Linked DNA regions of Alligator mississippiensis. The protein of the gene in region 2 binds, or shares a complex with, the protein of the main gene of each other region. Links are inferred from orthologs where the notes say so. Each region holds a gene or a part of one and is shown on either strand. Other genes may lie near its edges.

The links.
Region 1: the proteins of CSF3R (region 2) and CSF3 are in contact, whole or in part, in a crystal structure (PDB 2D9Q), measured with the Homo sapiens proteins. The link is inferred for Alligator mississippiensis from reciprocal best matches to the Homo sapiens genes CSF3R and CSF3. Residues at the interface, in NP_000751.1 of Homo sapiens: Arg164, Arg190, Lys191, Leu193, Leu194, Leu195, Tyr196, Gln197, Asp220, Met222, His261, Ile262, Asn263, Arg311, Pro313, Leu314; in NP_000750.1 of Homo sapiens: Ser42, Leu45, Lys46, Glu49, Gln50, Arg52, Lys53, Leu141, Asp142, Asp145, Thr148, Thr149, Gln152.

The regions. Positions count from the first base shown.
Region 1 is NC_081827.1:164,819,932-164,835,906, forward strand, and holds the start of CSF3 (granulocyte colony-stimulating factor), read right to left. Parts: upstream 8,437-15,975; 5' UTR 2,952-8,436; coding exon 2,679-2,951; intron 275-2,678; coding exon 167-274; intron 1-166. UniProt on the Homo sapiens protein: Granulocyte/macrophage colony-stimulating factors are cytokines that act in hematopoiesis by controlling the production, differentiation, and function of 2 related white cell populations of the blood, the granulocytes and the monocytes-macrophages.
Region 2 is NC_081829.1:272,435-288,631, forward strand, and holds the start of CSF3R (granulocyte colony-stimulating factor receptor), read right to left. Parts: upstream 8,211-16,197; 5' UTR 7,884-8,210; intron 6,935-7,883; 5' UTR 6,885-6,934; coding exon 6,842-6,884; intron 6,099-6,841; coding exon 5,730-6,098; intron 5,228-5,729; coding exon 5,104-5,227; intron 4,563-5,103; coding exon 4,381-4,562; intron 3,980-4,380; coding exon 3,831-3,979; intron 3,254-3,830; coding exon 3,100-3,253; intron 2,966-3,099; coding exon 2,883-2,965; intron 2,796-2,882; coding exon 2,582-2,795; intron 2,008-2,581; coding exon 1,819-2,007; intron 1,452-1,818; coding exon 1,350-1,451; intron 965-1,349; coding exon 818-964; intron 480-817; coding exon 339-479; intron 1-338. UniProt on the Homo sapiens protein: Receptor for granulocyte colony-stimulating factor (CSF3), essential for granulocytic maturation. Plays a crucial role in the proliferation, differentiation and survival of cells along the neutrophilic lineage.

The DNA.
Region 1 (15,975 bases), on a different chromosome or scaffold from region 2:
GAAGGACCACAGTAGGGCCAAATGGTTTTAACACTCTGGATTCTTACTTTAACATTGGATTTCTCTTGTGAATCACGTTTGCATTACTAACAGTGCTGACATTGTATGGCACCCCTGAAAGGATCTCCAGGCACCCCAGTTGAGATTCATTGCTCTAGTCACTCACCACTTGGAAGGGCTTGCTCAGACACTGATTCAGTGATGGCTGGAAGATGTTGAGGTTCTGCTTGACAAGCATGAGCTCCTCCTCCTTGCAGAGTTGAAAGTTATCGCACTGTGGTGGGACAAAAAGAAAAGATATGATCAGGTGGGAGGGCAAAGCCCCATGGTTGGAGTGCAGCTCATTGGGAATCTGCATGGTTCTTCACAGTTTTTGCCATGCCCCCCACCTCCTTTCTAAAGCTAGGCAAAGGAGCCACACACAGAAGAAGGGACACCCAATGGTTAGGGGACTTGCTTTGGCTCTGGAGACACTGGTTGTCCCTCTTTGTTGGCTCTATAGAGTTCTAGGTCAGGTCATTTTGCCTCAGGATAACAGCACTATTGCTTTAATACACGAAAGGCTGGAAACAGCTTTAAAAACTATAATAACAAGGGCCAGATAACTGCCCAAGACAGAAATCTAAAGATGCACTAAACCTGTGTATGTTTAGCCAGGTAATAGGGAAAGACCTCTTAGAGCCCAAAGGCAGACATTTGGACAGGTCATAATCATAACGGCTCATCACATTTCATCAGAGACTTCAGTACTATTGCTCTGGCCCTCAAGTGATATAACCATGTCACACAGATGCATTGCAACTCCTGTTGCATAAATGGAAGATTGGCAACAGCTTCATGCAATGAATAATAGAATTTAATGCCTTTTATCTAGCATTGTAATATTCCCTGGGTGGAATTGCAGCCAAGCTGACTCACTTTATACTGTATAGCTGGCCTATGTGGGTTCTTGATTACAGCCCCAATCCTGCAGACACTCAGGTGAGTAATTTGATTTATTGAAGTCAGTGGGCCATGTAGTGAGTAGTGTTTGCAGAAGTGGGGGTTGGGGATCTCTTACCCAGGGAAAGCCTGACATTCTTCAGGGTTTTCAAGCTGCTTCCTGGTTGACCCTTTCTGAGCTATGTGCAGTTGTCACTCACTTGCTGCCTCATTCCAGTGGCAACCCCCTCCATAAACAAAAAGTTCATAGCTGTGTGTACATGGGAGACTTGCAATCTAAATAGCCTGCAGTCTCAAACAAAACCCTTCGCTCCCTCCAGAGCTTTCCCTACAGCATTTTCCGAGCAGTCTCTGTTCTGACTTCGGTGTTGGCCTTTCCTTTGGCACAGCCCTGAGAATGCCAGGAAAGGAGAGAGGAACACAGCAGCATAGATTAGCCAGTAGTGTCCTGCAAGACCTTGGAAACTGGACCAAAGCAATTAAATTCACTAACAACTCAGCTAAGAATACCTGCCCCAGAGTTTGAACTGCTGTGAGGCACATGCTATAATCTACAGGAAACACACCCCTTCAGATTCAGTGGGACAGAGGCCTTGCCAGTGCATATCACTGGTCAAGTCCAGTTGAATTTGGAATCGGCAGCTGTTGTTTTGAATAAGATCTGAGAAGTCTGATCTTGAAACCACATGATTCCCAGAGTAGTTCTGGATGGGACTGCTTGTAGGAGGCTGGGGATGTGCCAAAGCTGTTAGAGGACCACGCCAAAAGTCATGGGGAAGAGAGATTAATAATTCCCTCTGCTGAAGATCCTGCTATGCTAAGTGCAGCAGGCAGCTGTGGGGCTGTAGGAAGCAGGGAGGAGAACAAAGGAAAGTTGGATGGTTGCAGTTGGCAGTAGCTGAGCAGACAGCTTTTCCTCCTAAGCAGCTGGGAGGACCTCCAAGCCCTCTGAGCAGATGCTTGTTTGGGATAAGCATTAGCCTGGGTCACCTCCTGGAGGGGAAGGGACTCTTTTATCTCTAATGCTTGGTTTGGGGGAGGAGAAGGTACCTGCTGTCTATTTTAGCAAGGCACTGGAAAGTGGCTGAAGGTTGGTTGATTCCTGGATCAGAAGGTCCCTTGTTAGTGACTCTGCCAGCTAGTGGGAGGGGGAGCTGGTCAGACTTTGTCCCTGGGGGATGATCAGGCCAGCTCTCTGCTGAGTTATCTCCCAGCACAGTTTGTGCCTGCTGCTAATTTCAGTTCCCCCAACACACCCTCTCTCTAGACTTATCAAGAGTTGGGACATAGCTATAGGGAAAGCCCGTCCTATGTAGGATTCTGTCTGTCAATCTGTCCCTAAGCCTGGGGCTGAGATTGTCTGCTGAGGTGAAGCTTTTGGGAGCTGGAATGTCAGAGGGAGGGAACTCCACTTTTGGAGCTGGAGACAAGACAGTGAACTTTGAGTTTCTGCACTTCTCATAGCCAAGTGCTCTCCAGGCTGCTGCTCTAAGGGAAGCAACTACCTGTCGAGGTCACAGCAGCCCCCAGAAACTTGTCACATAAATCCCAGTTGCTAGCAGTGGGTGCATGTCTATCTCCTCATTAGATACCAGCAAGTCCCTGCATCTCTCTGCTCCCACCACTTCTCTTCCTTCAATTCTGGAGACCAATCTCTGGTTACATTTTATCACCTCTACACCAGCAGCCCCTGACTGCTCTTAGCACTTCTCTTCCCAGGTTGTCTAACTACTCACCATGTGCTGCCGCACGGTCTCAACATCCATTTTGATCTTGCGAGTGAATTCCAAGTTCTTCTGCAGAAACAGCTGGAATCCCTGGTCCCCTGAGAACTCCGACAGGGGAGCTGCATGCAGCATGATGTATTTCAAGCACAGCAGGGTGCTCAACAGCAAGGATGGAATAGCTGGAGATGAGGAGAGGAGAGAGAGAAGCAACGTGAGTTGGGTAAGTGCTGAAGAATCCAGAGGTGCAGAATACAGAGATAGAAAAGTGATCTCACTGTTCATTCAGATGAGATCATGTCAGTATGACAGTAACAACAGGCAGCCCCGAAAGAGATTGGACCCAATGTACCAGGTGCTGTACATCTACACAGTAAGAGACAGTCCCCACCCTGAAGAACCTTCAAGGGGAGGTGTTCCCATGTAATATTTCTAACACATTCCTACTCAAGGATCTTAGTTTAACAAAATGCAGTTACATATCAAAGCTCTTTTAGTTAAAATCACATCAGCCAGTTGGTTTAAATCCCCTCTATTTTCTGATGCTCAGAACTCTAAAAGTTTTTTGAGAGTGAAACACCCCTTGCTATGTATATTCAGAAGGTACTTCCTGCCTGCATAAACTGTACATCTCTTAGACTTTTTTTATCCTTACTGGCATAATTTTCCTGATTGTAAATAGAAAAGGAAGGGAGGAGGGGGGAGAAAAAATGTTTTTTAAATCGTAAAAACTATCCAAGCCTCCCCCAGAAGTCAACCCAGGAGTTGCTAGTCCCAAAAATAAACTTACCAGACCCCTTGCATATAGTAAATCCAAGCAGTTTGCAACTAGGAAATGGTGCCTATGATTTCTGTTGCTGTCGGGTGAAGAGCTTATACTTACTTCTCAGAGGATTCATTCTAGTGCCTGAAAGCCTTTTGGTATCTCCTCCCACTTGTTTTATGACGGTGCGCTGGGAAAGGGTGTAAGACAGACGCAGGGCTGCACCAGTCCTTTTTGTTCGTGAATGCTGTGAGACTCCAATTGATTATGATATTTATAGGAGACTCAGGGAATTCACGCTGATGTAATAAGATGAGGCAATTATTACTAATCAGTGAATATGCAAATACATTTTTCTGAAAATAACATATTAGGAATTTTAATTTGTGGGGATCATTTGTTTTTCATTTAGATTTTTCTTTAGCAAAAATTTTGTTATTTTGTAATTCCTCTGGGACAGCCCTGGACTGTTTTGTTTTTTTTTTTTCTTTTTTTTCTTTTTTCTTCTTTTCTTGTAGTGTCTGAGAGTTGCTCCCTCCTTTTGTGTAATTAATCGATTGTTATTGCCCTTTCAGGCCACCCTAAAAAAGCTGCTCCCCAAAATATCAGCCACTTCCTTCATTCCCATCAAAGATTAATTTGGGAGATGAAATGATGTCTCAGAACTGATCAGGGTGTGGTTTGCTTACAAAATCCACTTCCCAATTTCAACTTAAGAGTTCTGACCTAGCAATAAAATGGCACCCAACCAAATAAATGGGACTCAATGGGATGCAGGTGCCTTCTAAGTGTTCCACCTGGCCTTCAGTATGTGTGTTTACTTACTTGCTGATTTAATTCCTGTTTTTTAGATTCTTTTTTATTACTGGGCTTGAATAGTGTCTTTCTTCTCAAGCATCTTAAGAATTAGGGATTTGTTAGTTTAGTGCTATCAGCAGATCATGAAGGAGGAGGTGAAATAACCTTTATGTTGCACTTTCCTTATTGCTTTAAACTCGAGCAGAACCAATGACATTCTTTCCTGCGTCATATGCTGCACCTACAATTACCTTTAGTTACCTGCCATTGTTTCCTGGTATATCTCTCTGCCACAGATTTGGAGGCCTTCACTGTGGCATGCAGGCTGTGGATCTTACTCACTATGAGCACATCCCTATGAAGTAGGTTTGTTATCCACAGACAGAGAAACTGAGGCATGGGACTCTCTAAGGGATAAATTATTTCACATGGCCTATTTGAAGTCCCTTATTATGGGGGCTGTGATTTTCCCACAGTACTATGCACCTGGCTTCTGGAAAATCAGGTCCCTTTAAAACATCTCATTTTGGTCTTCCAAATACTGGAATAATTGCCTGGAATCACAGGCTAAGTGTGTGGCAGCCCTGTTTCACCTCCCACCCTTGTTTGCATAGACAGTGATTTCTGGGGCAGAGGCTGTCTGTTGGTGCAAGTGACTCTCTGGCCCCTTAGACATCAACGTGAGTCTTGCTACTGATCTCACACTCAATTTCACCCTGTGTGGACCTGCTACACCTGGCACACTGCAGCCCTACTCTCAGCTTGGAGTGCTGTCATATGGGTGCCACAGGGAACTGAACCACAGTGTCTGACGTTGCATGCCAGGGCCTTGAACCCCAATCACCCTCTTGTTCTGCTGCTGCTTAGATGGGGATCGGTCTCCCATGGGGAAAGACAGATACTGAAGTGCTCTTCAGCGATGTTACTCATATCACGCAAGAACCTGATGGGCATGATCCAGACTTGACCTCCAAGAGATTGCCCTTGCACCAACAGACAGCAGTGCAATTATTTCCCAAACTGATGGATGTGGATCTGATGTCAGTTTTTCCTACAGCCTCAGGGTAATGATTTTGGCATGCTAATGGGGAAATCTCTACCTGCATTTCCAGGACTGGCTGCTTTTCCTGTACCAGCTGAGTGACTCCCAGAGGGGGAAGGGACCAAATCTTTAGCCTCTGGGATTTACAGAGCAGGGGTGCAAGCACAGCCAACTGGCAGTGACAGCTGAGTCAGTTGGGTTCACTTAAAATGTCTTGGCACAGTTTCTTTAACCACAAGTTCAGGGCACAATCTTCCGAGGAACAAGGAAATGGGATGCTGAGTAAGTAACCTACATCAATGCATAGGAAGTAAAACTCATCTGACAGCATCGTAGCATGAGGATTGAAACTGGGATTATATTGCTGCTGTTCTGGCATGCACCCCTTGCTGTGCGGCAGGACAGGGAATACACTAGGGAGCCAGAAGCCCCGTAACTTTTAATCCCGCTCCAGCACTGACTCCCCTATGCAGTCTTGATCAACTCACTTGACCTTTCCGGGCTATATGGGCTAAGAATATGGGTTCCCTGAACCTCAGTATGCCAAGGAAAGCACCCTCCAGTTCCCATGCTTGTGCTCCACACTTACGTATAAAATATATAGCGGCCCAGAGCATTGGGTGCAGGCTGATTTACACCAGCTGTTGACCTGGCCCTTTCTTTCTAGCCCTGGTAGGGACAAATGAGTGTGGAAAGGGAGGCAAGGTCTGAGACAGCAGCACAATTCTGGGGGAAGGGAGCATAAAAATAGCCTCCATGCTGCTGGCCTGGCCACTGCTACCACTGCCAGCAGCCTGGACTAGATGACTGGATTAGGGGGTAGACTAGATGATCTCATGAGGCCCCTTCCAGCCCTACTTTCTTATGATCTTCAGACTAGCATGGCTGGGGTGATGCAGGTGCTAAGGCAGCCTAGAGGATGCAAGTTCAAGGCCATAGCAGCAGTGCTCATGGTGCTGCCTGTCAGATTTCAATGAAATGAACATGCAAATTTTGTCACAAGGACACAGGAAAGGAAGGTCTGAGACCCTCTTGTGCTAATTCTGTTGGAGATTCTGTCTGCCAAATTATAGCCTAGTGGGCTGGGGGGAAGCTGTGTTGGAAGCCAGGACCCCCATTCTCTGCTCTACTCCCTCTTTTTGATGTCCATTCTTGGGAAGTGGTGGCACCAGTGATGTTCAACAGAATGCAGGTGTTCGTTAGGGACAACTTGCTTTGTTTTTCTGCAGTGATCTGATTAGCATCAGATCTCCAGACCAGCTCAGGAGTGTTCATCTCTCTGCTGAGGACCAGCGGGGCAGCACCACACTGCGTCAGGCTCAAGAGGGTGATGATTTGCAGAGCTTTGGCATGGGGGATTTCACCTCCTGTGAATCTCTAAGCTTCCCTCAGGCCCCAGGTGGCTGGACTCCCTCTCTCCACAGTGCGGCTTTGAGCCATGAGACCTAACAGAGCTTTGAAAAGGAAAAGAAGGATGTTGTGAAATCCTTCCTCTGGCCATTGGACTTCGAAGCTTTTGAAGGTGCGCCCTGAAGCAGCTGCGCAAGTTTCCTTGACACTAAAATGAAAGATCATGTGGGCTGGTTAGGGGAAGGCCAGTGGTGACGCAGAGTCAGGTCGCAGCACTGACCGCTTTCACTATTTGGGGATTTTAAGAAGAAAAAAATGAATCAGTGATGCAAACAGAGCGAGTAAACCCACATGTGCTTTCTGGGGAAGGAACTGCCCACGTACCCAGGAAGGGCATGGATGGTGCAGGGGACACAGGACAGGCATGATCCCAAGGCAAAGGAGAAGCGGAGTTTAGGTCAAGTGTGACCTGTGTGCTGGGTAAGCACAGTCCTTCTCTTGGTGTCACAGCAGGGTTTTAGCTTCTCTGGAAGGAAGACTTCCTGCATCTGTGATGAGGGAACAGATGGTAGGGATGGCTAACAAGGCAATGGGATAAGAGAGACCTTTGAGCCAGGGTCCTTTGCCCCCAAGTGTGAGTGTTGGAAACAATACCCCCGAATCTGTCCCTGCTGACCCACTCATTCTTGTGTGGGCCCAATCTTGTCCTGCGTCTAATCATGCTGGCACCCTTGCTGGAACCATGCTGCCAGCAAACCAGAGCCATGGACCTTTTGGGCACTATTAGTTGTGCTCCAGGGGTGGGGGTGCTTTAATCAGAACAGCTCCAAAAACTACTCTAATTAAAGTACCGCTGTGTTTCCTATATCAGTGTCCCAGCACTTCAAAATGGCAGTGTGGGCACTTGACCTAAAGCTCATTCAATGGGGACGCTGATACAGGAGACCTAGAAGGCAGCTGGAGCTTGGCAATTGCTATACTCCAGTGGCCTTAATTAATCAAGTCTGCTGTGCCGCGCTGGAATTCCAGTGTGTTGGAGCAGCCTCCATGCTCATGTATAGATGCCCTTTGGTACCACCCAACATGGGCACACAGGGCACTCCCATCAGGGTAAGAGGAGGCAGGACCTTGGTTTTACTTCATGTTCTGATCCTGGCAGTACATTTTTGGAGTCTGAGTCTCAGCTGAGTTGTCCCTGGTGATGGGGCATCTGTCTCCCAGATGGATCATTCTGTGTCTAGAGGTCTCATGGATAGGGGAGGTTCCTCATGGCTCCAGCTGAGGTTTACTTTTGTCCTGGGGCCTATGCCTTCTGGGAGAGAGCTAGTCTTTCTGTGACTCCCCCTTGCATGTGGGGTCCTGCAGCTGAGCAGAAATCTTGTGATCTTAACCCAGAAGACAGTAGACATTTGTGTCCTGGGCTGAGGTTGCATGGGAACCTGCAGGCCAAGGTCATCTTGAATCCTCTTCCTTGCTTCTCCTGATTTCCCTTGGTGTAATGGAGGACAGGACTGAGCCCTCTGGGTGGAGATGAGCCTGGTTTAAGAAATCCTGGCTTCTCTCTCAGATTTCCCCATTGGGACAAGGCTCAGCTCTTTCAATTAGCTCCAGGCACTGCCCAATTGCAAGTGGAACTGCATGGCATACCAGGCACTGCATGTAGTGGAGATCACGCTTTGGCAATGCATCTGCATCCAGTTGTCTCAGCACTTGGCTGGGTCTGTCCAAGCCTCTCTGGGAGGGAGAGGAAGCAGGATGTGGTGCTTAGGGCACTAGACTGGAAGCCCAGTATCCCCTTCTTTTCTTTGCCCCCAGCTTCCTGTGTGACCCTGGGCAAATCGCTTGGCCTGTCAGTGCCATCTGTACAGTGAGGATAACAGCAGGGCCACAATGGGGGATGAAGATGATTTGTTGCTCAGGTAGCCCAGGATGCAGCAGCACCCATCACTGGAGTGTCTGGATGTCTCCATGTACAATGGTAACAAACCTTCAGCCCTGAAGATGCCCCTGGGGTATAGTATTCGCCTGCTGGGAGAGCTAATTTGCTTTAAAATGATCCACTAAAATGAAATTCCTTGGTTGGGGGGGATGTTGGGCTAGTTGCTTACATGCCTACAGTATGTATTGTAGACCCCCAGTCCCTGCCTGAGAGATCAACCTCGGCCTGCTCTGGGGACCTGCTGTGCAGCCCAGAGCAATGCTTGGCAGCCATCCTGTCTGTAGGTCTGGGTGGTAGAGGTGAGTTTGGAGCAATTCCATGCCCTGTGCCTTCTCTCTGTTTCTTGGCCTTGTCTCTGTGGGTTGGGGGCAGTGGGGTTGTGGAGGAGCTTCAGAAGTCTCTGAGCCCTGAGGTGTCGCAAGGCCTGTGCTGCTGCAAAACCCCAGCCTGTGAATCCCTCTAGCTTCTCCATCACTCCCCTGCCTGTATTGCTTTTGCCTCTGCCCTCAGCCAGAGCATTTTTCTTTGGTTAGACTTTGCTTGGGGCATGTCAGGCACCTCTTGGTCCGCTCCGTGCATTTAACCACCAGCCCAACTGCCCAGGACACTTCCCTGCCAGGGAAGACTTGTTCTACCAGTGCAAAATACAATAGGGTAGAGGGGGAGACCTTGTCCTCCTGGTGGCTGTGGCCCATATTGCACCTAATCAGGCACCTGATTCTTGCTGCTTGTTTTTTCCCTATTTGCAGCTCACTGAAACTTTACTGGGAAGACTTTTTCCGGATCCTCCAGCCTTTGCACAGAAAGGAGCAGCTTCCTATGCAGTTCAGTAAGGTCAAGTGCAAAGTCCTGCACTTAGGACAAAGCAATCCCATGCACCAGTACAGTTTGGGGACCAGCTGGCTAAACAGCAGCTCTGCAGAATAGGACCTGGGAGTTACAGTAGACAATAAGCTGCATATGAGTCGATACTGTGCCTTTTTTGTAAAGAAGGCTAATGGTATACTGGGCTGCATTAGTAGGAGCCTTGCCATCATATTGAAGGAAGTGATTATTCCCCTCTATTTGGCACTGGTGAGGCTACATCTGGAGTAGTGTGTCCAGTTTTGGGCCCCCAATGACAGAAAGGATGTGGACAAAATGGAGAGAGTCCAGTAGAGGGCAGTGAAAATGTTAGGGGGCTGGGGCACATGACTTATGAGAAGCTGAGGGAATTGGGCTCATTTATTCTAGAGAAGGGTGGGGTGGGGGTTTCGTAGCAGCCTTCAGCTACTGAAAGGGTGGTGCCAAAGAGGATGGAGTGAGACTGTTCTCAGTGGTGGCAGATGACAGAACAAGGAGCAACAGTCTCAAGTTGCAGCAAGGGAAGTTTAGGTTAGATATTTTTAAAAACCCCAAACTTTCTCACTAGGAAGTAAAGAACAGGTTACCCAGAGAGGTTGTCAAATCTCCATCCTTAGACGTTTTTAAGACCTGGCTAAACAGTCTTGGCTGGGATGATCTGGTTGGGGATGGTCCTGCTTTGAGCAGGGGCTTGGACTAGATGTCCACCTGACATCCCTTCCAACTCCAATTTTCTCTGAGTCTATGATTCTATGAGGATACTGGAGTATCTGGAGATATTTTGGGGCCCTTAGGCTAACCCAGGTCCTGTTTCCAGTGTATGGGACCAGATAGGGTGTCAGAAGAATGCAGAGGCATTATTAGGCAGTTCTACACTCTGGGCAGCACATGGGCTGGTGCCCCTGGTTGCCCCCCCGACCTCCCATTACTGGGAGACTTGGGTGCTAGTCCCAGCTCTGCCACTTACCTGCCCTGTGACCCTAAGAATGACCTTTCCTTTCCTCGTGCCTCAAATTCCCCTATAAAAATGAGGATGACAGTCTTGGTGCATGTTTCTGCAGGGTTGTGTGTGGGTGGGCAGTAGGAGACAAGAGCCCAAGACTGGCTACCCTGGGGGACCCCTCTGTGCTCACCACAGTAGTGAGAGACTCTCATATGAAGTTCAGACCTAGAGTGGATGCACAGACCAGCCTTCACAGATCAGGGCTGGAGTTAGGAGCTTGCAGCACACTGGGAGTTTGACACCTATCTCCCTTAGGCTCCCCAAAACATTATCTAGTGGGTTTACTGACCGCCCTCCCGATCCCCAGGACTCCAGCTCTGGTCTGAATGCAGTGGGCTTTATGAATGATAGAGTCATTGTTTGTCAGTGCTGCTTCATACTGGAGTCTCCATGTGCACAGAAGAGGCTAAGTCAGCTGCTTGGATTCCTGTAACAACTCCAGCAAAGTGGCGGCTTTCCTGGAACGGCTGCCTGGGAAGGTGTGGGGCTCACACCCCATTCCAGGACAGGCAGAGGACACAGATTCTGACCTCACGTTCTTGCCATTGTCTTTGTGTACACAACACTTCAACCTGGTGAGTAATTCTTCCCTGTCTTTTGTTCTTCAATCTCTTCATAGCCCGAGGAGCAAGCGGGGCTTTTTTGGTGTGTTTGAAATAGGAAGTTCCATTTCAGTGAAGCAGCATAACTGTTTCCTAACCTTGCCCTGGTATTTCACCACCCAGGTTTTCCGGTTTGCTGCCTGCCTCCAACACACCTGAGAACACAGTACAGCTCGGGGCAGCTTGGCAGAGAATGACTTGCCACCAACCTTATCTGGTGAAGAGTTGCAGCCTTGGAAAGGTGTGTGTGTGTGTGTGTGTGTGGGGCCAGGGGAGCTATGGGCTGCCACCAAGGGGCATCTGCTGAGGTGTCTGTGAAGGGAGCTCAGGGCTGGACGAGCAGGTGGAGGGGAGCTGAGTTAGGTTGGAAATAGCTTTCCCAGCCTCTGGAACGGTTTAAGAATTGAAATGATTTCCTGTTCTGCTTTACAGTAAAACCATGTACGTGTGTGTGTGTGTACATGCATGCATATGCATAAGCTAACCAGCCCCTGGGGATCAGGGCTCTCGCCTGCGAGGTGGGAGACTCAGATTCAAGTCAGTCTTCCACGTGGCAGGGGTGCAGGCTGCTTACCAGGCTGTTGGATTTTCTGGAGTGGATCTCACTTTTGGTCTGTCTTCTTGGAACTGTTCCACCCTGTACGTCCATGTCCTGGTCCCTTCACTCAACAGGAGGATTTTGCCTTGGCACCGAGAACTTGGCCTCAGTGTAGTGGAGTTTGCCAGAAGATGATGATGCAGAGGGGCATTCACTAGTGAGGTGGCTCCCTCTAGCGGCACCATTTGGTAAGCGCACACCACAGGAGACCGAGATGGGACCAGGCTCCTGCCTCTCAAGGAGCTGGGCCCACTAAGGACATTAAAGCAAAGAGTGACCCATGCAGCAAGTAGGTGAGCTGATTACTCCCATGGACAGCAGCTCAGCACAAAGGCAGGCAGGAGCAGGGGACTTTGGCTGTGGTCTGTATCAGGCGAACAGGGCCCTGACTTGCATACAGCAGAGCCTATGCAAGGTTGCCATTCCAGTTGTCACAGTCCTACAGAGGCCTCATGCTGATCCCAGATGTCACCTGTCCTCAGCATCACTGGTACCTGGATCTGCTGGCAGGTGCAATTTTTAGGATCAAGTGCTGGGAGAACAGCACATGCAGCTGTTCCCAGTTGCTCCTTTCACTCATTTTCCCTACCCTTAGCCTCCCTCCCTCTTCTATTAGATTAGTAGTTCTCAACCTCAGGAGACCCCCTCCCACCCCAAAAATACCAGCTCTTAGTTTTCACTTGTTTTTTGACTACAGAAAAGTAATAGAACAATTCTTCTGTTGCAAGCAACTCAGAAAGCCCACAGCAGGGCAGAATGGATTTAACACTATGGGTTCCTACTGGAAATCTCTGGGTTTTATCTTGTGACTTCATAGAATCATAGAAGTAGGGTCAGAAGGGACCTTGTAGATCTTCAAGTCTGACCCCCTGCCTGGGCAGGAGGAAAACTGGGCTCAAATGACTCCAGCCAGGTAGGCATCGAGCCTCTTAAAGACCCCCAGGGTAGGAGCCAGCACCACTTCCCTTGGAAGTTGGTTCCAGATCCTAGTTGCCCTAGCTGTGAAGTAGTTCTTACAGATGTCTAATCTAAACCTACTCTCCAACAACTTGAGGCCGTTATTCCTTGTTATCCCGGGGGGCGCTAGGGGAAACAAGGTCTCCCCCAAACCCTTCTGGTCCCCCCTAGTGAGTTTATAGATGGTCACCAGGTCCCCCCTCAGCCTTCTCTTGTGAAGGCTGAACAGGTTCAGGTCCTGTAGCCTCTCATTGTAGGGTCTGCCCTGCTGTCCCCGGATCACGCAGGTGGCCCTCCTCTGGACCCTCTCAATGTTGTCCACATCCCTCTTGAAGTGGGGTGCCCAGAACTGGACACAGTACTCCAGCTGCGGCCTGACCAGTGTCACGTAGAGGGGGGAGGATCACCTTCTTGGCCCTACTTGAGATGCACTTGTGGATGCACGATAGGGTCTGGTTGGCCCTGCCGACTGTGACCTCGCATTGTCGGCCCATGTTCATCTTGGAGTCAGTGATGACTCCAAGATCCCTTTCTGCCTCTGCACTCTCAAGAAGGGAGTTTCCCATCTTATAAGTGTGCTGCTGGTTACTACTGCCCAAGTGCAGCACCCTGCACTTGTCAGTATTGAAACGCATCCTGTTTTTGTTAGCCCACCCCTGCAACCTATCCAGGTCTTTCTGCAGTCTTTCCCTCCTTACTAATGTGCCCACCTCACCCCAAATTTTGGTATCAGCAAATTTGAACAGGTTGCTTTTCACCCCGTCATCCAAATCGCTGATAAAGAAATTGAACAGTGCGGGCCCAAGGACCGAGCCTGGGGGACTCTGCTGCCCACTTCCCCCCAGGTCGAGTATGACCCATCTACCACCACCCTCTGAGTACAACCCTTCAGCCAATTTGCAATCCATCTGACTGTGTAGGCATTGCCTTGCCTTTAGGTGAGAGGTGAAGCCCATCCCACCCCAGCAAGTCCCTTGCCCGAAAGCATGGGTCATTATCTAGGAACCCAAGGCCCGCCTGGTGACACCTCTGTAAGTGCTGGTTGACCTTGCCAATGCAGGCCTCGTGTCGCCGTCCCCACCTACTCACCGGAAGAAGAGGAGAATACCACCTGTGCCCCAATCTCCTTAAGCTTGGCCCCCAGAGCCTCCAAGTCCTTCATAATGCAGTCAGGGTTGCCCCTGGCCGCGTCATTTGTTCCCACGTGGATGACAACCATGGGGTATTGGTCTGCAGGTCGGATATAGGCCAACTTGTTTGCACACCTAACAGTTTGCAGACCTGCAGCACCCTGGCTGAGAATCATTGTAGTAGATTATGTAGCTTAGAGGCAGGGACTCCTTACATTTTGGGTCAGCACTGCCTTGTTCATGCTTGGCTCCTAGATGAAGGTCTGTTTAGTTGAGAGAAAAGGTAACTATAAGTGGACATGGAAGCTGTTTTCAGTTCTTTGAAAGGCTACCAGAGACATATTGACCTCCCTTGCTCCAGAGGGCAGGGCATGAAGTTGTGGCTTTAAACCTCAGCAGAAATCTCAGAGAAGCCTTGCTAATATGAAGAGAAGCAGGACAATGGAACAAACAGCCTAGGGAAAACACGGACTCTTCACCAGAGGCTTCCAAAAGGAGGCCAAATCTGCCTTTCTCTGGGATGGGTTGGGAGGAGTAACTCCTGCAGCTGTGAAGGTTTAGCTGGAAGAGCCTTGGGGTCCCATTCCACTTTGCAATTGTAGACACTACCATAACAGCAGTAAGGAACTAACTCCTGCGTCTGACAGAGTAGATTGTTGCCTATGAAAGCACATGCCCATCTGACCCAGTTAGTCTTGAAGGTACCACTGTGCCCTGCCTTTCTGGGTCTCTTCTAAACTTATGGATCCTACTTACCTTCCTGCGCCATTGCTGTCAACAGATGGCAAGGTAGTGTGATCATCTGCAATGGGACAGAAACAGTGTAGGCAGCCTTTGCTGAAGGGTGTTGTGGCTTTTGAGTTGCTGATTAGATATTAAATATGTGTTTGTCCTGGTCCAGGGCAGACTACAATACACTCATTTCTTCTCTCACTGCGTACTGGTATTTAAAATTATGATGCTGGTTCCCTGGGTCCAGCTTTATGGTGCCATCTGCTGTTGCATGCAGAAATGACACTGGAGTGCTGGGAAACAACCCTTGGTTGTATTGGGATAGTACTTCCTCTAGCCTGGATCTGGACATACCCCTTGCACTTATGGAGCTGAACAAGGTAAGGCAGGACCTTCTAGCTGAGTGGGGTTGACCCACACTACTCAGCTCAGATATGCTAAATAAAGTGAGCAGAGGCAGGCTATGCAAGCAGATCTGTCTATAGTTAACAGGAAGCCTCAAGGTACCTAGTCAGCTACTGAGCAGCTTCTCAGGGCACACATTGTAGCCCTCCAGTTGTTCAGCAGTGCAGAGACAGTTTTGGGTCTATTGCACATAGAGATTTGGGTCCCATGCCTAATGGCCTGTAGATACAGCTAGCATTTCATATACCCATGAAGAAAGCAGCATCAGTGCCCTTGGTGGCAGAGAAAGCCTGCAGGAAGGATCAGGGTCCTTCACTATCCTCTGACACAGGACTCCAGGCATGGTTCCCTGGCCTGTGTTATGCAGGTCAGGGTAGAAGATTGGTGTAGGCCTCTCTAGCCTTCAAATTCGTGAATAAAGACAAGGATACATTGGTCTAACCCAATGTATTTAAGAAACAGACAAAGGTGTTGATTTGAATATTCTTTTGTCTGCGGGAAAAAAGGTTCCTCTAATTCTACCCATGAAGCCCTGCATGGGGCTGCCTCAGCCATTACAGCAATGACAAAGGAGAGCAAGGACCACAAGAGCAGCTCTCAGGAAGGTTTGTCCTCGTCTAAAATCATATTGATCCTGCCCTAGGATGCCAGTGCCCTAGAACTACCTCAGTCCCACACTGTGAAACAGTAGTAGCCCCCCACCACTCCACGAAACACAAAATGCACATAGGCTGCTGGGAATTTTTTTTTCCCAACTTTTATTTTAAAAGTCATAATTGAAGCTTAACAAAGTCTTATCCCATTGTTATTCTGAGCTGTGGCTCTGCCATGGGCCCTGTGCTGTTAGAACCACCACCCACCTGGTGGCAGGTCCCATGGACACGCATCCAGAGGCAGCCAAGAGGTTTGGTGACCAAGTTTGCCATGTTGAATTCATTAACCCCTTGTGTGCCTTCTGCAGCAAGTGCAGTAATGACACCAACCATAAGCAACCTTAAAATAAGTTTGTTTTTACTGGGAATAAGGAGGGACCCCCTTCATTGCAATACTTGTGGGTGATGGTGGTAAGGGAGCAGTTCCCTCTGAAGTAGCCAGAGGGTGCTGCAGAACCCGGGCATGTCCCCTCCCACCCCCCCAATACATACAT
Region 2 (16,197 bases):
GGCAGGGAGGAGGGTGATGGCCCAGTGCGGAGAAATTCCCCCGGTGCCAGCCACTCGGGCTCCAGCTGCAGTGGGCCCAGCACCTCTGAAACCACTGGGAGCCGGGCTTGAATGGCCGAGCTGTCCTGAAGACGGGCATCCCTAGCATGGGTGTGTGCATGCACGGGTGCATGAGTGAGAGTATGAGTCTGCACACATTTATGAGCATGTATGTGTGTGTGCATGGGTGTAGGCAGGTGCATGCACACTCGTGTGGAGGTCACCCCCCCCCTCCCCCTCCTTCCTCCCTGCCTTCCAGACCCACGCCCAGCTGCAAGCAGGCAGAGCCCCAGCCTCACCCAGTGCTGTGGTCGTGAGCATGAGGATGGTGCCGTTGGTGCTGCCTGCCACGGTGGAAGCCATGATGTGCACTTTATATGTGGTGGAAGGCTTCAGGGGTCTGATGGTGAAGGCCTGGACATCAGAGTCCACGACGGCACCTGAGGAAGCCAGGGCAGGGTCAGCTCCCTCACTCGTTTGCTGCCGCCCTTGGCCTGGGCATCAGCCCCTAGCAGCCGACACAGCCTGGGCACAGAGCTCTCTGCAGCCTGGCGCTGGCTGGAACCAATCCCACCCTGCGCCAGCCACAGCCCAGCGGAGACCCTGCTGTCTTCCTCTGCCCTTGAGTTTCTGAACGCCATGCTGCCCTGCGCCTCGGCCAGGAGACAATGGCTAGGGCTAAAGACATAGGCTGACTGGGGAGGTGGGTGCGTGGCCCAGTGCTGCAGAGTGGGGGCTGGAAGCCGGCAGTGCCGGGGCTGGGGCGGGCAGGACTTACTGGACATGTTGGAAGAGGTGCTGGCCCAGAAGATGGTGTAATTGGTGATGAAGCCGTTCTGCAGCTCCGTGGGCACTGGTTGCCAGCTGAGCTCAGCCTGGTACTTGCTGATGCTCCTAAGGTGCAGTTTTGGGGTGCACGAGGGAGCTGGAGTGGGGGGACAGGCACAGTCAAGGTCAGCTGCAGTCAGAGGCTCCCCCAGGCTGCCCCATGTAGATGCCAGGCAAGTGCTGACCAGAGGGCGAGGAGGAGCATGAAGGCCTGAAGGGTGCTGGAGCCCAGGCCCCTTCGCAGTGCGCAAGGGGACCCTTAACTCCAGCTGGCCCCAGCGCCTTTGCTCTTCAGCACCTGCCCTACTACTGGGCCAGGCCCCCGGGCTGCGGGGTCTGCTGTTCAGCTGGATTTAACTCCACCTGCTGAATGGGAGGCTGCAGGCTCCACCCCAGAGGTGGCTGCATCCAGGCCATGGTGCCCGGTATGAACCCCGAGCTGGCAGGGCCATTTGGGACGGGAACCCTGGCAGGATACATACCCTTCTGCTGGGAGTAGGTTGCTGTGTGTCGTGGCACCCCCACGGCATCCACGTACAGAGGGTACACAGTGATGTTGTACCGTCGGAAGGGCTCGATGCCATCTACAAGGGAAAGGGACAGTGGGGGCTGTTCGCATGGCAGGGCATTGCTACCCAGGCCTCTTCCCCACCCGCCCCCAGCAGTGACGGCTGGCGTGCCCAGCACCACGGTTGCTCGGGCCTGGCTCAGCATGTGTCCACCTCCCAGCGTGCACCTGGGACCTGACGCGGCGCCGAGGGGCGGACATCAGGGCAGGAGCCCTGTGAGTCCACAGCAAGCCCTGCAGCACATGCGCCCCCACAGCCCCGAGGGAAGGAGCCGTGGGGCAGGTGAGCGGAGAACAGAGGGCAGAAGAAGGACCCCCAGCAGCCCAGGCCCAGAGCTGGAGCTTGGAGCCGTGGACGGGGCCAGCCCCGCCCAGCCACTCACCTTGGATCAGGGCCCCGGTTGCACTGTGGTTGTGCTCCACCTGCCAGCCGAGACGGCCACCGGGCTCCGCGGGGGGCACGTTGCGCCACTCGAGCACGTAGCCGTTGGTGGGGGCTGCGGGCGCCTCCCACTGCACCCACAGGCTGTGCTGGTCGCGGGGGGTGGCCCAGAGCCCACGCAGGGGCTGTCCTGCCAACGGCACCGCGGGGCACGGTCAGGCTGGGTGTCACGGCTGCAGCCTGGGGTGTGGGGTGCAGGGCTCGGGGGGGGGGAGGAGGGGCCCGGACCTGTGTGCCCTGCACTCAGAAAAGGCAAAGGGAGCAGGCTGGGAGCCCCCACAGGGAAGCCCAGGTGCTCCCTGGGCGGGGGCATTGCTCTGGTTCCTGGGCCAGGTGCCCAGGGCTGGACATCCTTGGCCTGGCTGAAGCCCAGGGGAAGGTGCCCAGCCATAACTTCGGCTGGCACGAGCCAGTGTCGCTGTGCCGGACCACTCCCATCAGCACCAGCGTGGACCTGGCCCTGCAGCTGAATCGTTGAAAAGGCACCTCCGGGCCAAAGCGCGGGCAGGGGCTCCTCCCCGATCCAGTCTGCTGCGCTACAGCCCGGGGGGCTTCCTGGGCCCTGCCCAGCTGTGGGGGCCTCCGGGAAGACAGAGACCTGCCTGGCCAGGCTGGGGGCCACCGGCCTTCTGGGCTGGGCAGTGGGGGTGGGGGGCTCTGCCCCCGTGGGCAGGCGGGAGCTGCCAGGCCGTGGCGGTGCCTACCTCTCCTCTCCAGGAAGATGACCTCGGTGGGGGGCCCCTTGCCGGCGGCATTGTAGGCTGCCAGGTAGACGCTGCGCACGCCAGGCGGCACAGAGAAGTTGCACCCCATCTCTGTTGTGTTGCAGACAGTGGTCGGCACCCCGCCCCTCTGCTGCGGGCTCAGCGCCACCCAGTACCCCAGGATCCTGCCGTTTGCCTCCTGCCATGCCAGGGCCTGGGGGCAGACAGGGGCTGCATTCAGAGGTGTGGGGTGAGGGCTCCTTGGACCACAGCCCCATGGCCACGGCCACCCTGACCTTACCTTCCACAGCAGCTGCACCTTGGCTCGCTGCCGGGAGCCTGACGGTGTCACCTGCCACCAGGCGTCCAGTTTCCCTGCAGGGGCTGGGGGAAGAGGAGAGGAGGGGGGCTTTTGGCTTGGGTCTCCTGCCCTGCCCCAGCACCCCTGCCTCACTCCCACCCTCAGCCTGGCTCTGGCCCTGGCCTCTCTGCCCACCTAGGGCCATGGCAGCACTCACCTTTCTCGTGGGTGGTGAAGCCCTGCTCCGTGCTCCACTCACTCCAGTAGCTGGGGAACGCCCTGCGCCGGCAGCGCATCTGCAGGCGGTACGGCATCCCGAAGAGCAGGCCGCAGTGCTGCACCTTCTGGTTGGAGCTGATGATGCCGGAGACCTGGCACCATCACAGCCAAGGCACTGTCACCTCCCTGCAGGGCCACGGGTGCCCTTCCCTTGCACGCCAACCCCCCTGGCCCTATTCTGGGCAGTCTCTGGTGCTGGGGGGCTTCGCACCCTTGGGAGAGAGGGGAGGTCAGGGCCACGGACGCAGCGGACCAAGCCCTGGAAGTCCAGCAGACATGGAGATCTCGCCCTGTGCCAGCGAGCTGTCCCCAGTGTCCTGTCCACAAAGGGACCTGGGATGCAGTGACTGGGGGTGGCACTGGGCTGCAGAGCCCGTGCACAGACTAGTGCGGCAGGCCCCCAGTGAGGGCACTGGCTGTGACACCCTGGTCTCCCTGCGCTGCCCTGCCCTGCCCTGCCCTGCCCTAACAGCCCATCCGAGCCATACGTGGGCTCCCTGCTTCCTCGATGGGGACCCTGGAGTGCAGAGAGCAGCTCTACAGCCCCAGCGGACACAGAGCAGGAATCTCGACCCTGAGACCAGCCCCCAGAGGCAGGAGGGCCGTGGATCCTCCTTCCCCCCTGCCCCGCAACACAGCCGGCCCCGCTAGCCCGCACGGAGCCCTCACCAGTGTCCAGGCAAGCTCTTTGTCCCTCCGGTAGCGCAGCTCGCACTGCTGCTCGATGTAGGCGCTGCTGCGGGCCACGTCCCAGGCCACGGCCACGCAGTTGGGCTGGAAGGGCTGCACGCTCATCAGGGTGGGGGCGTCCAGCTTGGCTGAGGGCAGGACGGCAGAAGCTGGCACCACTGCTGTCCCTCATGCCGAAGGACAGCCTCTCCCCCACCACTGTGGCTGGGCCCACCCACGTGAGCGCACATGGCACAGGAGCTTCCTGGGCCCCAGGGTGCCAGCACTGCTGGTGGCCAGGCTGTTGGGACCAGTGCCTGCTCTGTGAACATGGGCACGGCCCAAGGCCAAGGACCAGTGGCTGGGGCAGGGATACCTGCTCTGCACCTTGCCCTGCAGACGGCTGCACGCGTGCACTGTGGGCCAGTGGACAGAGGGTCCCTTGGCACAGGGGCCTGGGGCTGGGTCCTGGGCCAAGTGCTGGATTTTAGGGGTCTGGCTTCCGAAGGGCTTGCGCTGACCCTTGTCCCCTGCCCCGCGCTGTGCTCACCCACATCGGTGGGGTCGAGGCACAGGTGCTCCGACTCGGCCGTGCCCAGGGGGTTGCGCACCCACACCCAGAACTCCATGTCCTGGTAGAGCTGCAGGTGCTGGTGCGGCAGGGTGCAGTGGTTCTCCCCTGGCAGCAATGGGCGGCACTCCTGGATGGCCTTTGTGACCACTCTGCAGGTCCTGCCGGGCAACAGACAGGTCAGCGCATGCCAGCGAGGCCGTGGCTCCTCAGATGCTCTGGGTGCCCCCACTAGCAACACGTGGCTCCTGCGCTTCCCTTTTCCCAGCGCCCATGCACCCAGGAGCCTGGCATGGCTGGGGCAGCACTCTCTGAGCGGCGCACACTGGCAGAGCAATCAAGGGGGGCTCTGCAGGGAGTCCAGCAGGGCTGGCTTGGCCACGGGCACCATGCAGATGCTGGCATCGGGGGCTGCACCCGGCAAGGTCTCGTGTGCATGTGGGAGCTCCAGCCCCCTCTGGGATGTGCCTGTCCCCTAGGAGCTCCCACGCTGCCTGCGGCACTGCAGGCGCCAGGGCTGGACTGGGCAACTAACGGGAACCCCTGGGCTGGCAGGGCCGACACCAAAATTCAGCAAACACCCAAATCCTTCCTTCCTGTTGCCCTGCCCCAGCCCTGGCCTGCTCTGCTGCCTCCCTGCCCCTGGGCCCAGTGGCCTGGCCAGGACACCCGTGCCCCTGGCCCACGTCCGCAGTCACTCACTTGCGGCTCTTCAGGATGGTCTCGGTCGGCAGGAGGCTCTCCGCTCCGGGATCCCAGCGACATGTCAGGGACATCTCACGGAGGTTCATCATGCACGTCAGGTTGTGGGGCTTCGAGGGTAGGTCTGCGGGAAGAGCGGGAGGACGGCGCTGTGGGCAGCGTGGGCACCTGTGGGTCTGGGCACCAGCGCTCTGCTAGGGCAGCTGGGCCCATCCCGGCTCTGCCCCCTCCAGCCTGCTGTGCCACCCACTGCCTCTGCCCTTGCTCCAGGTTGGGGCAGTGGCCGCCTTTGCAGAGTGCACCCTGCCCCATCCAGGGGCCCAAGGCGCCGCAGGACCCTGCGCTGTGACTCAGCTGGGCTGTGACGGGAGCTGGGTCTGGCTTCCCCTTTCCAGTGCCCGGGCAGCGAGAGGTCAGGGTCCTGCCCCACAGCAGACAGGCCTCCCTGGGCACCATCCTATCCTGAGCACATCTGCCCAAACCCGCCGCGGGGGGGTGCTGACAGTCCCTGCTCACCCGCCACTGGGGGCTCTGCTAAACCCTATGTGCAAGGTGCCCTGGGGCACAGACGGGGAAGGGCAGGGGGTGTTGGGGGCCAGTGTGATGGCAGGCACAGGTAGACTCACGGCCCGCTTGGATGTCGGCTGTGGCGATGAGCTGGGGCGTCTCTGTCTTCGTCCCTGTCCCCATCCCCGCCAAGTAGCACCGCAGCTTAGCCCTGGTCCAGCTGACGCGGGCGATGGTGAGGTTGGACTCGACTGTCCCATTTGCACTCCAGTACTGGGTCCCGGGCAGGGTCTTGTTGTCCAGCTTCCACATCAGCCGGATGCCCCCCTCCTCCAAGCCTCCGCCAAGGGTCTGGGCTGTGCTTGTCCCCAAGGAGCTCGCATGCCACCCATGGCACAGGGCCTGCTGGACACGGCAGGAGGCCGTGACAGGGGATCCCAGGAGCACCGTGTGGGGCTCCACCCGCACCTCGCCACAGCCCCGTGCTCCTGCGAGGAGAGAATGAGCCTCTGAGTCTGGTCCCTGCTCGGGGGCAGCTCCTGGCCGGCCCTCTGCACTGCAGGCCAGGGCCCAGCATAGCCCGAAGCAGCCACCCGGCTCCAGGCTTCAGTCTTTCCAGTACGCACGGTGCCCCCAACCTGTCCTAGTCCATCTGCTCTCCAGAGAGGGGCCCTGGGCTGGTAAGCCCCCTGCAGTCCTGCATCTCGCTGGGACTTGGGACACAACTGCCACCAGCCTGAGATGCAAGGCTCCTTTGTCTGCATCAGCCACAAACCCACTGAGCTTTCCAGGAGCAGCCAGGGTAGAAGCCCAGGGTGGCTCTGGCTTCGCTCCAAATGGGGCTGTCTGCAGGGGAAGGGGCAAAAGGAGGCTCTGCCATCCGGGTCTTTGTTAGTGCAAGTGCAGGGGTTGCTGCAATAGCTGCAGCCCAGACTAGGGCCCTGCATGGGCATGGGGGGAGGACATGCCGTGGTCTCTGCTTCCCTGCAGGGCTGCATCTGTTCAGTGCAGACAGGGCGTCTGCCACAGGTCTGGGACATGCCGCCCCAATGCAGGAACCGCCAGCTTCTGCCCGGGCACATCACAGCGCACTGCTCCGGTGGGAGGCGCCCCACACGGGCTGGGCTGGGCTGGGCTGCCATCAGGGCCTCTTGCCTGGGAGTGCAGGGAGGGAAAGTCAGGGCTTGGGGGATTCCCCATCCCGGGACCCTGGCATTGCTGTCAGACTCACCACCCAGGAGCAGCAGGACGAGCAGGGAGGATGGCAGCATCATTCCCCTGTCGCTGCGCTCGGCCACGATCTTGTCTGGGGCTTTGGCATCACCTGGGACACACACATGCAAGTGTCACTCTGCAGGCCAGAGCTGGGGTGTGTGTATGTATGTGTGCAAGCTTGTGTGTGCAGATAAACCCTTGCGATACAGTCCCACATGATACACGCTGGGCGCTTAATAAGTATCAGACAAAATATACTGGCTTCCTCAGTCATCAGATCCACCATGGTTGTCCGTGGCTCTCTATAGTGCATGCACACACACGTACACATACACACACACTTCTGCAGGTCCATCAGACCCTCTGTGGCAGCAGGAAGTTCTGTCTGGTACGAGGAGGCACTGGTCTGCAGACTCCCCGTGGGCTCGGGGCACTTGGCTAAAGCCGTGGAAACCTCTCTGCTCTGCTGGGGCGGGGGGGTGGGAAGGGGCTGCCGCCAGCTCTTGCTGCCCCATGCTCCATGCAGGTGCAGCATGCCGGACATTGCATGAACCCCCTGCTGTTCACAGAAAGAGGGACGGGAATGCCACGTCCTCTCGGTGCTGGGGATGTGTTCGCCCACCGCACAGTTCTCCTCCGAGGGAGCCACTGACCCCTGCAGCTGGGGGAGCAAGGACCAGAGCTGCTGGCAATGTTCCTGGGGGGATCACAGGTCCCAGCTGTTCACACCAGGCTGATGCTGCCCTGGTGCCCAGAGAGGGACCACTCCTGCATGGTGCTGGTACCCAGCCAGCGCTAATCTCCAGCTTTGACTCTCTTCTGCGTTTCCCTGCCATCCTGCTCCCGTGGCCCCTGCCCTGCCCTGCCCCATGGCTCCAGCGCTGACTCCCCTGCTGATGGCTGCTGGGATCTCAGCCCTGTCCTGCGCAGGAGGCGATGCTCCACCCAAGCACCTTGCCCATGTCCAGAGGGCTCGGTGCCAGGCCGGCCGGTGCCAACAGCAGCGGGGGCAGCCTCTGGGGCAGCCAGAGTCCAGGCAGCCCTGGCCCATCCCTTACCTCATCTCAGCGCCCGGTGCATGCAGCCCCTAGTGTGCTGCTCGCCCTCAGGACTGGCCCGGGCCCCCGGGAGATCAGTGTCCCGTCCAGGCTCCAGCATGTTGCTTTTGCCGTTAGTTCCTCAAACCCAGTGTCGTTAATTGCTCCGAAGCTCCGAAGAAAAGGTGATTGCAAAACACTTCCCTGAAGGCTGCGTGTGCCCCACGCGCTGGCAGGAAGGAAGGCGCAAAGGCAGCCCACACATCCAGCCCTGGGGAGCAGGCTCCGGTCTCCTCATCCTCCCTGGCCACCCGCCTTTTAAGCAGCTCAGCTTGGCCCAGTGGGGATGGAGCAATAATGAGCTTGTTTGCTGTGACCTTGCTGGAGCCTGTGGGGCTGATCCAGCGCTGGCAGGAGGTGGAGGGGCTGGGGCATGCTCTGAGAGCCCGGGCAGGGCCGGGACCGCTGGGAGGGGCTGAGCACACTGAGGTTTTCTGGGTGCTCTGCTCCCTCTACAAGGCACCCAAGTAGCCCATCGCTGTGGCAGTCTCAGAGGTTTCCTCTTCCACGCAGCTCAAGTCCCCCAGAGCCTGTCGCCTTTTGCCACGTGCGTTCCCCTGAGCTGCGAGGCCAAAGCACTAGCAGCAGCGAGGACCTTTGTGGTGTTCAGGGGCCGGAGCAGGCAGGACGGTCAGGCTCAGTGCCTGTTAGCTGCAGTTGGACGTGGCCCTTGTAGCCCTGCACCAGAAGTTGGTTAAGCTGCTGCTCCAGCGCCCGGTGCTTGTGTGGGGTGCACCAAGGGAAGGTGCATGGGAATGGGGAGGCCCTGCCAGCTCAATCCTACCCTATGTGGGGGCATCAGGCTCCCCCCAGTACCATGCACCCCACTTGCTCCGTGCCAAAGGCCATGCACATGTAGGGGGCACAGTGGCAGGGTCTCCATCAATAGAAGGTGCCTTGGAGTGCCCAGCTGCCAAGATTTTGGCCTGGAGAGGACAGAGCTGCTCTGTGGACTCCATTGCCAGCTGGTTTCTAGGCCCACACAGTGCTGTACCCCACCAGGGTGGACAGACACCCTCCACACCTGCTCTGGGGCTTTGCCAGGGGTCAGCTCCAGGTCCACGCCCATGAGCGTGCCTGCTCCCCCTGCTCAGAGCCCCACAGGACTGAAGCGTCACAGTCCCGTGCGGCTGCAAGACCGAGGCACCAGCGGCTGCGCAGTTGCTGCTGCCCCAAGGCAAACGCGTTCAGAGCTGTTTCTGGGGCTTTGCTGCTTGTGGTGGCCCTGCTTCCCTGCAATCCCAGGGCGTGGGGGCTGCCCCCATCTCTCGCTTACAGCCACGGAGACACCGGCAGAAGCAGAGCTGGGCCAGAGCCTCAGCACTTTGCATAAGGCTGTGCAAATGCCAGCGCCAGCGTGCAGACTGCTCTCAGGCCCTGGTCTGAGCTTGTCCCTGGCCGGGTCGGGGCAGGCTGTGGCTGTGGTTCTGGTTCCCACTGGCTGCTCGTGGCACCAAGCTGGAGCGTGGCTGCCGCAGGCGCTGGGTTGTTTTGCTGTTGCTGGAGCAGCCGCCCAGGCATGCCTCAGCTTCCAGCCTCAGCCCTGATGTGGCAGGAGGCGTCTCCACGGGGCCAGGCCCCGACACCCTCACCCTGCCACGGCTCCCTAGCAGCCCAGGGAGACTTCCAGCCAGGAGGCAAGTTCAGGGAGGTGGGGAGTGCTCTCTGGATCCTGGGCTGACCCTGCCTGACGGGAGGTCAGTGGCCTGCCTGGGCCTGCCACTCTGCGCCCAGCCCCCCGGCCGCCCTGCCTGCAGGCCCGAGTCGTGGGATGCACCAGGATGGGCCTTGGAGCCGTTGTGTCAACAGCAGCTTGCCCAACCCAGAGCCCAGTGGCCTGCGCAATGGCAGCATCTATTGTGCAAACTTCTGTTTACGGCATGTTTACTCGCGTGTTTACTCGCTCCGCTGCACAGCACGTGACTCACAGTTTAGCTGACCCTCTGGCCCGCTGACAGCCCCAGGCCTGCCCCTGCCCCGGGGCCTGCAGGCTGCCCCATGCCATGTCCTGCAAAGCCCTAGCCCTCATCTCATGGTGGAGCCGCCTGCCTCGCTGAGCCCGCTCTGTTTGCCCGGTGTGCGCAGCTCAGTGCCTGCAGCCCCAGCACGGGAACGGGCCCAGCCGGGGTGCGGGCACATAGTTAATGGGAGCAGGGTAAGCAGACATGCACTGGCCATCGCAGATTCAACAGAGTGACTTTACATCCCCTGGGGTCTCCCAGGGTCCCAGCCCTGGCGCAGGCACCTGGCAGGACCTGGCTGGGAAGCATCTGAACCTCTGGCGCAGCCCCGGGGCCAAGGCTGGTGGAGCTCTGCTGCACTGCCATCAGGAAGGATCCCACTGGGTTTCCCCATGGGGCCCGTAGCTACCAGTCGGCCCATGGTATCTGACCCACATCCTGGCGGCAGTGACCACAATGAGCCCTGGCAGCTGTCTGCATGCGGCACCTTCCACCCTCTCGCCTCTCCCATCGCAGGCTGAGCTTGGCCTTGCTCAGCCCCGAGTTCTTCCCTAGGAGAAGCAGCAGTCTCAGGCCCTGGCGAGGGCTGGCCCCCTTCCCGTGGCCCCGGTGGGCGAGCTCCCATGGGCCTGGTGTGACTGGGGGAGCACGCTGCCATCTCATCAGAGCAGCAGAGGTGCAGGGGCAGGAGCCCGAGGGAACAGCTCAGTGGCCACAGGCTGATGTGCAACTGCATCTGCTGCAATGCCACACGCTGCTCTGACCCAGGCCAATGTTAGCACTGGCAGTGGTTATGCCCAGGCTGGGGCAAGGGCAAGGGCAGGGGCAGCAGCCTGGTCTCCCTGGCTACTACCTGCAGTGAGTTGCAGGTCACTCCTGGAGCCCAGGGCTGGTGCAGTAGCTGTGCCTTTATCACCTGTGGGCACTGGGAATGGGGCGGGTGGTAGAGAGAGCCCCTTCCAGGCTGTGCTCTGGCACGCGCAGCTGAGGGCATGCAGGATCTGGGCAGAAGGATGTGCCCTGTGCAGGGGGCTGGTGCAGGGAACTGGCACCACTTTGGTCCCTGGCGCACCCATGGGTCCAGTCCCTGGAGGGATGAGTGGGTGGCCGAGGGCGTGCCAAGAGGAAGGCAGGCACAACGGCCGCTGGGCGAGGAAGGCAGCGCTCTGGGGACAGTGGCAGCCAAGTGACACTGCTTTCTCACCCATCTCCAGCTGGGAGCACAGCTTATTGCCCTGGCCTGAGGATCCCTGGGCCCGAGCCAGCCAGGTCAGGGCCTGGAGCCTCCACTGCTGATCTCGAAAGGAGGGAGTCCAGTGACCCTGCCCCACATCCATGACCTCGGTCCTGGTCTCTGCTCTGCTTCCCTCCAGGTGCCACAGTGCTGCAGGGCCGCAGGTAACAGCAGCTCCCCACCCAGGGGTATCCATTCCCAGGACATTATCGCTCGGCCTGGGTGCTAGACTGGCCAGGCAGCGGAGGGCTGGGCTGCCGGGCACTGCAGCAGCCCTGCTCCTGCCTGCCTCTCGCTGCCTCCTATTTTGGAGCACGCTCCCAGGTCGGAGGGCCCCGGGCTGCAGGGGGAGGCTGTGGCGAGCAGCTGGCACATGGGGGTGGTTTGGGGGCAGGGGGTGCTGCAGCACGGGCACAAGGAGGTCCTAGCTGTGGGGCTGGCCTTGGCCATGGGGCTCTGTGCAAACAGAACAGGGTTGCGCCCCACGCTCTGCTGTTTGCATGCAGGCGGGAGCACCCGGCCAGTCTCTGCGGGGCAGGCGGGCACGCTGCACGTCTCGCTAGGACCCTGCCTGCGCGAGCCCTGGCAGCGCATGGGCACCGTCGGGCATCGTCTCCCTCCCCCTCCCAGGCTGCGCACGGGGCAACTGCCACGTGCAGCCTGGCGCAGAGGCTGGGCCAAGGGGGGCGGGGGGGCGGGTGTGGCGACATCCCCCCGGGTGTGGCAACCCAGAGCCCGTTGCCAAGGAAGTCTGCCCGCTTGCAGCATGTTTACAGCAGGGAGCTGGAGTTCCTGTAACGTGCGTCTCCGTGGGAACCTGCCTGGCGGAAACGTTCAAGGAACAAGCACAGCCGGGCTGTAAACAAGCGGTGCTGCCTGCCCTCCTGCCCCGTCACCCGGCAGCAGCCGGGCGCCCCGGGAAACGCTCGCTGCCCGGTCCCCAGAGCATCGCTGCATCCCCGGGGCTGGCGTGTCCTGGGAGGTGCCCGACCCCACCTGGCTGGGGCGATTGGGGCGTGGGGTGCCGGGGTAGGGCAGATGCTCGTAGCACCTGTGCTTTGCAGGTGTGGGGAGCAGAGCATCTCATGGCTTGCCCTGACAGCCTCCCAGGCCCAGCGAGAGCCGCAGCCCTGGCCCGGCAGCCCCTGCTTCTGCCCCGGTCCCAGCTGGCACTGCCGGCAAGTCCCTGGCAGCTCCTCTCTGCCTCTCCCTCCCGATCCCTCTGGCTTGTAGCTCCCCCATGGCCGCAGCCTGGGCCGTGCAGCCTAGGCCGAGGCAGGCCTGCCCCGCTGGCCCGCACCCAGCCCACGCACAGGAGCGGGGTGCCAGCAGACGGGCTCTCCCGGCTCCCGGTGGCCTGTCCACAGCCCTGGGCTAGCCGACCTCTGCCCTGGGCTCCGGGGCAGAGGCTGCCTTCAGCCGTGTCTGTGCGGGGCTGCAGCGATGCCACGAGCGAGTCATCGCCAGCGTCCGCCCCAGGCTGCGCGGTCACACATGCCCTGCTGCCCAGGGGTTTGCCAGGGCTGCTGCTCTGCTCCTGCTGACCTGCCGCAGGGCCTGGCCGGGCCAGGCTCGGGGCAGCTGGTCATCCCTGCCATCTTGCTTTCCCTGCAGCTCCGTCTGAGCCACTCGCTGGCTCCCCGCACGCCTGCTGGGCATGGCACGTGCTGGGACCAAGGCTGGCCCCATGCAGGGCACCTGGCTCGCAGGGGGAAGGGGGCAGGGGGAGAAGCAGGGCATGGGGGAGGCCCTGGGATGGAGGCACTGTGGGCCTGGGAGAAGCCACTGAGTGCTCCAGGGATGGAGGGGGCCGGGACAGGGCTGAGCCCCGTGCTCAGGGGCCGGGGTGAGAGGGGCCGGCAGTGCCTGGGGCTGCCAGCCCTGCAGAGGGGCAGCGAGAGCAGGTAGGACCCGACCCCGAGCCTGACCCTGACCCAGCCCTGCCCTGGCCGCCAGGCCATGACGCAGCGCGAGCGGGAACAGTGAAAGGGGAAGTGGTGCGGGAGCCCGTGGGCTTTTCCAGAGTTACGAGGCTGGGAACGGGCCCGTGGCGGCCAGCCCTGTGCCCTGCTGCCTGGGGGAGCGTGGCCCGGGGCTGTGGGAGGGCGCACGTAGCAGGCTGTGGCTGCAGTTGCGGGGAAGCCTGCTTGCCCCTTCCCAGAAACGCAGCCCGGTCAGGTCTGCTTACAGAGCCTGCTTCCCCGGCTGCTCCCCCAGGCTTGTCGGCTGCTGAGCCCTCACCTCCGGCCCTGTGGTGGCACGAGTGTCCCCCAGCAATTTAACAAAGGAAAGAAAGGTGGAAGCAGCTCCTGGCTCTCCCGGGCCACGAGCACCCCAGTGCCCAGCACAGCTCAAGGAGGGCTCCTAGGAGCGCCGAGCCAGCCCTGCAGTGCTTCCCAGGGGCCGGCAGGACGGAGGGGCAGCCCCTGGGGTGGGATCTTGCACTGGCATGCTAGGGCTGGCTGCGGGAGTCGCAGCGGTGCCCACCCGGCCTCTTCCATTCCCAGACCCTCTAATCAGGGCCTTTGGGGACGTCTCCACCTGACTCTGGCAGCCTTTGAATGCATCTGGGGAATAGCATAATGGCCCCCTGACATGACCAGTTCACCCCGCACGGGGTCCCAGGCCCTCACCCAGGAAAAGGGGAAGACAGCGTGTGAGAGAGGGAGCTCTGCTGCTGCAGAGCACAGGGCTGTGCCGGCAGCCCCGCGCCCGAGCGGCGCGAGACAGTGCAGGCCATAAAGCAAGCCCAGCTAAGGGCCTGCAGGCAGGACAGGTGGGAAAGGGACTGTGCAGCGACGCTCTTGCTGGAGGGGACTCTCCGGAGCGGGGGTGATCACAGCAGCTCCTGCCCAGCGTGGACAGCTCCCGGGGAAGATGAGCCAGAGTGGCTGTCCCGGGCCCGCGTGGGAAGCGACAGTTACAGAGGGGCTGGGAGCCCTTGGCACCCGCAGGCTCCAGCTGCAGTGGGGGTCCAGCCTCTCTGGGCATGGGAGACCTCCGTCTCTCTTTGCCTCGGTTTCCCCACTTAAAAACAGTGCTTGTGGAGCTGCCTTTCTCCAGGTCTCAGCTTGACTTGTCTGTCTGCACTGCCAGTGCTGCGGGGCAGGGCCCGCTCCCACTCTGTGTCCTTGCTGTGCTCGACTCAGAGGTCCAAACGCAGCAACTAACCACCCCCTCCGTCAGCCCACGTTAAGCTGAGGCCAAAGCTTGGACTGGCCCAGCCTTTATTGTCATGTTGCTTCTTGAAGCCTCAATCACTGCAGCTCCTGTTGTGATACATGCACAACAAAACCCTCTGATTTGCATGGAGATAATTGTGTTCCTTGCATAAGGGAAGATCTTTGTCTGTTCCAATCACGGCGCTGTTTGCAGTTCTTGAGGCAGGAAATGGGTTTGTTTCTTAACACCCAGCGTTATTTGCAAAATATTAGAATTGCAGCCAGTCCCCGTAGAGATGAGAATCACAGAGCGAGGCCAGGAGGCGCTGGCAGCAGAGGTGCTGATCTGCTCCTGTCTGCGGCCGACAGCTGCTAATTCCAGTGTCCGGCATTAGCTGTTTGATAACGTAAGCGCTGCCTCGACTCGGGGCGCAGCCACTCCTTCCCCCCCCGGGCTCTGCAGTGGGAACAGCCCACATGCAAAGGCACAGCAGAAGGAGAGAGCTGATACTGTCTTGAAGGACTTTAGAGGCATAGCTTGAGTGTGAGCCCTACACGTGTGTGCACCCCCTCCTCGTACACGCGTGGACATGCATGTGTGTGCAGATAGCTCTGTGAGAACCCACACCCAAGGTGCACGGCCCAGGCCCTTCAGCCCAGACTGGGCAAAGCATCCCGGGGGGAACCGTGCTTGAGATCCAGGGAGGAGGCCGCCGGACTAGGGCTTCCCTGACCCTGAGGGCTGGGCTGTTTCGTGGGCTGGAGCAGCCGGTCTTCGCCCGCACGGGGCAGTCCCGGGCACTGGTGTGCACCGCTGGCACTGGGCCCTGCTGATGGGCTGATTGGGAGGCTGCGGGCCTGAACCCTCCTGGCTGTGCGCACGTCCCTGCTAGGACACGGCGCCTGTGGCAGGATGGGCCCCGTGGCTGGGGAGCAGAGGGCCTGTGGTCGGGCCTGCCCGGCTCCTGCTGCTGCTGCCCGCTAGATGGCACTGTGTCTCCACCGGTGCCACCAGCCACCCCCCCCCCCCCCAGCTCCCCCCACCCCGTGTCCTGGGTTTGCCCCACGGGCCACGGGGAGGTGGCAGCAGGGCCCGGGCCTGGACGTGAAGGCTGTGATGGAGGCAGAGAGGAGCACCCATGCCAGAGCCTCGACAGGGTGCCCGATGCTGTCTGGCACCAGGCGGGTGCTCCGGGCACAGGGTGGCGTGTCTGCTCTGGGGCGCAGTCATGCCGGCTGGGCCTGCCGCGCCCGGGGGACGCAGGGAGGCTGGGAGCAAGGGCACTGGCTGGGCGGGCAGGAGTCTCTGCGGGCTAAGGACCAGCACCCATACCCGCCCCTCTGCCAGGGAGGTGTTCATCACCTCTGCTGCAGCAAGGATCCCCTTGCCTGGGGCCTTGCCAAGGCTGCATATGTAAATTGAGAGCAAATGGCTTTCTCTGGCCCTGGCATGCTGCTAAAATTAGCAAGGAAAGAGCATTTGTGTTCCTGGTTGCTGAGACCCAGGGCATCCCTCACGGGGGTGACCCCTGCCTGGGTTGGACTCTACTATTCTCTCATCTGGAGCTGTGGCCTGGACAGCCCTAACGAGGCTCGTCAGGAGAAGCACCCTGCCCAGCTGCATTGCCTGGGCAGGTCTGGGGAGCCCGGGCTGTAGATGCGTGGGGGCCGCGGGGAGCAGGGCACCCTTTGCTGGCAGCGACTGTGATGAGTCGCCCAGCACGGTCATGCCCCTTGGCCTCCTCCCTCCATTAGCTGCGATGCCCGCCAGCCCCCGACGCACCTGCCGGCCGCCCCAGTAGCAAAGGCCATGGTGTCCCCCGGAGGGCTGCAGCCCGGCGGAGAGGGGGGGCGGTCTGTGAACTTCATACTTTCCCTAGCTGTGAATTTAAGCATGGCTTGAAAATTGGTGAAAAAGT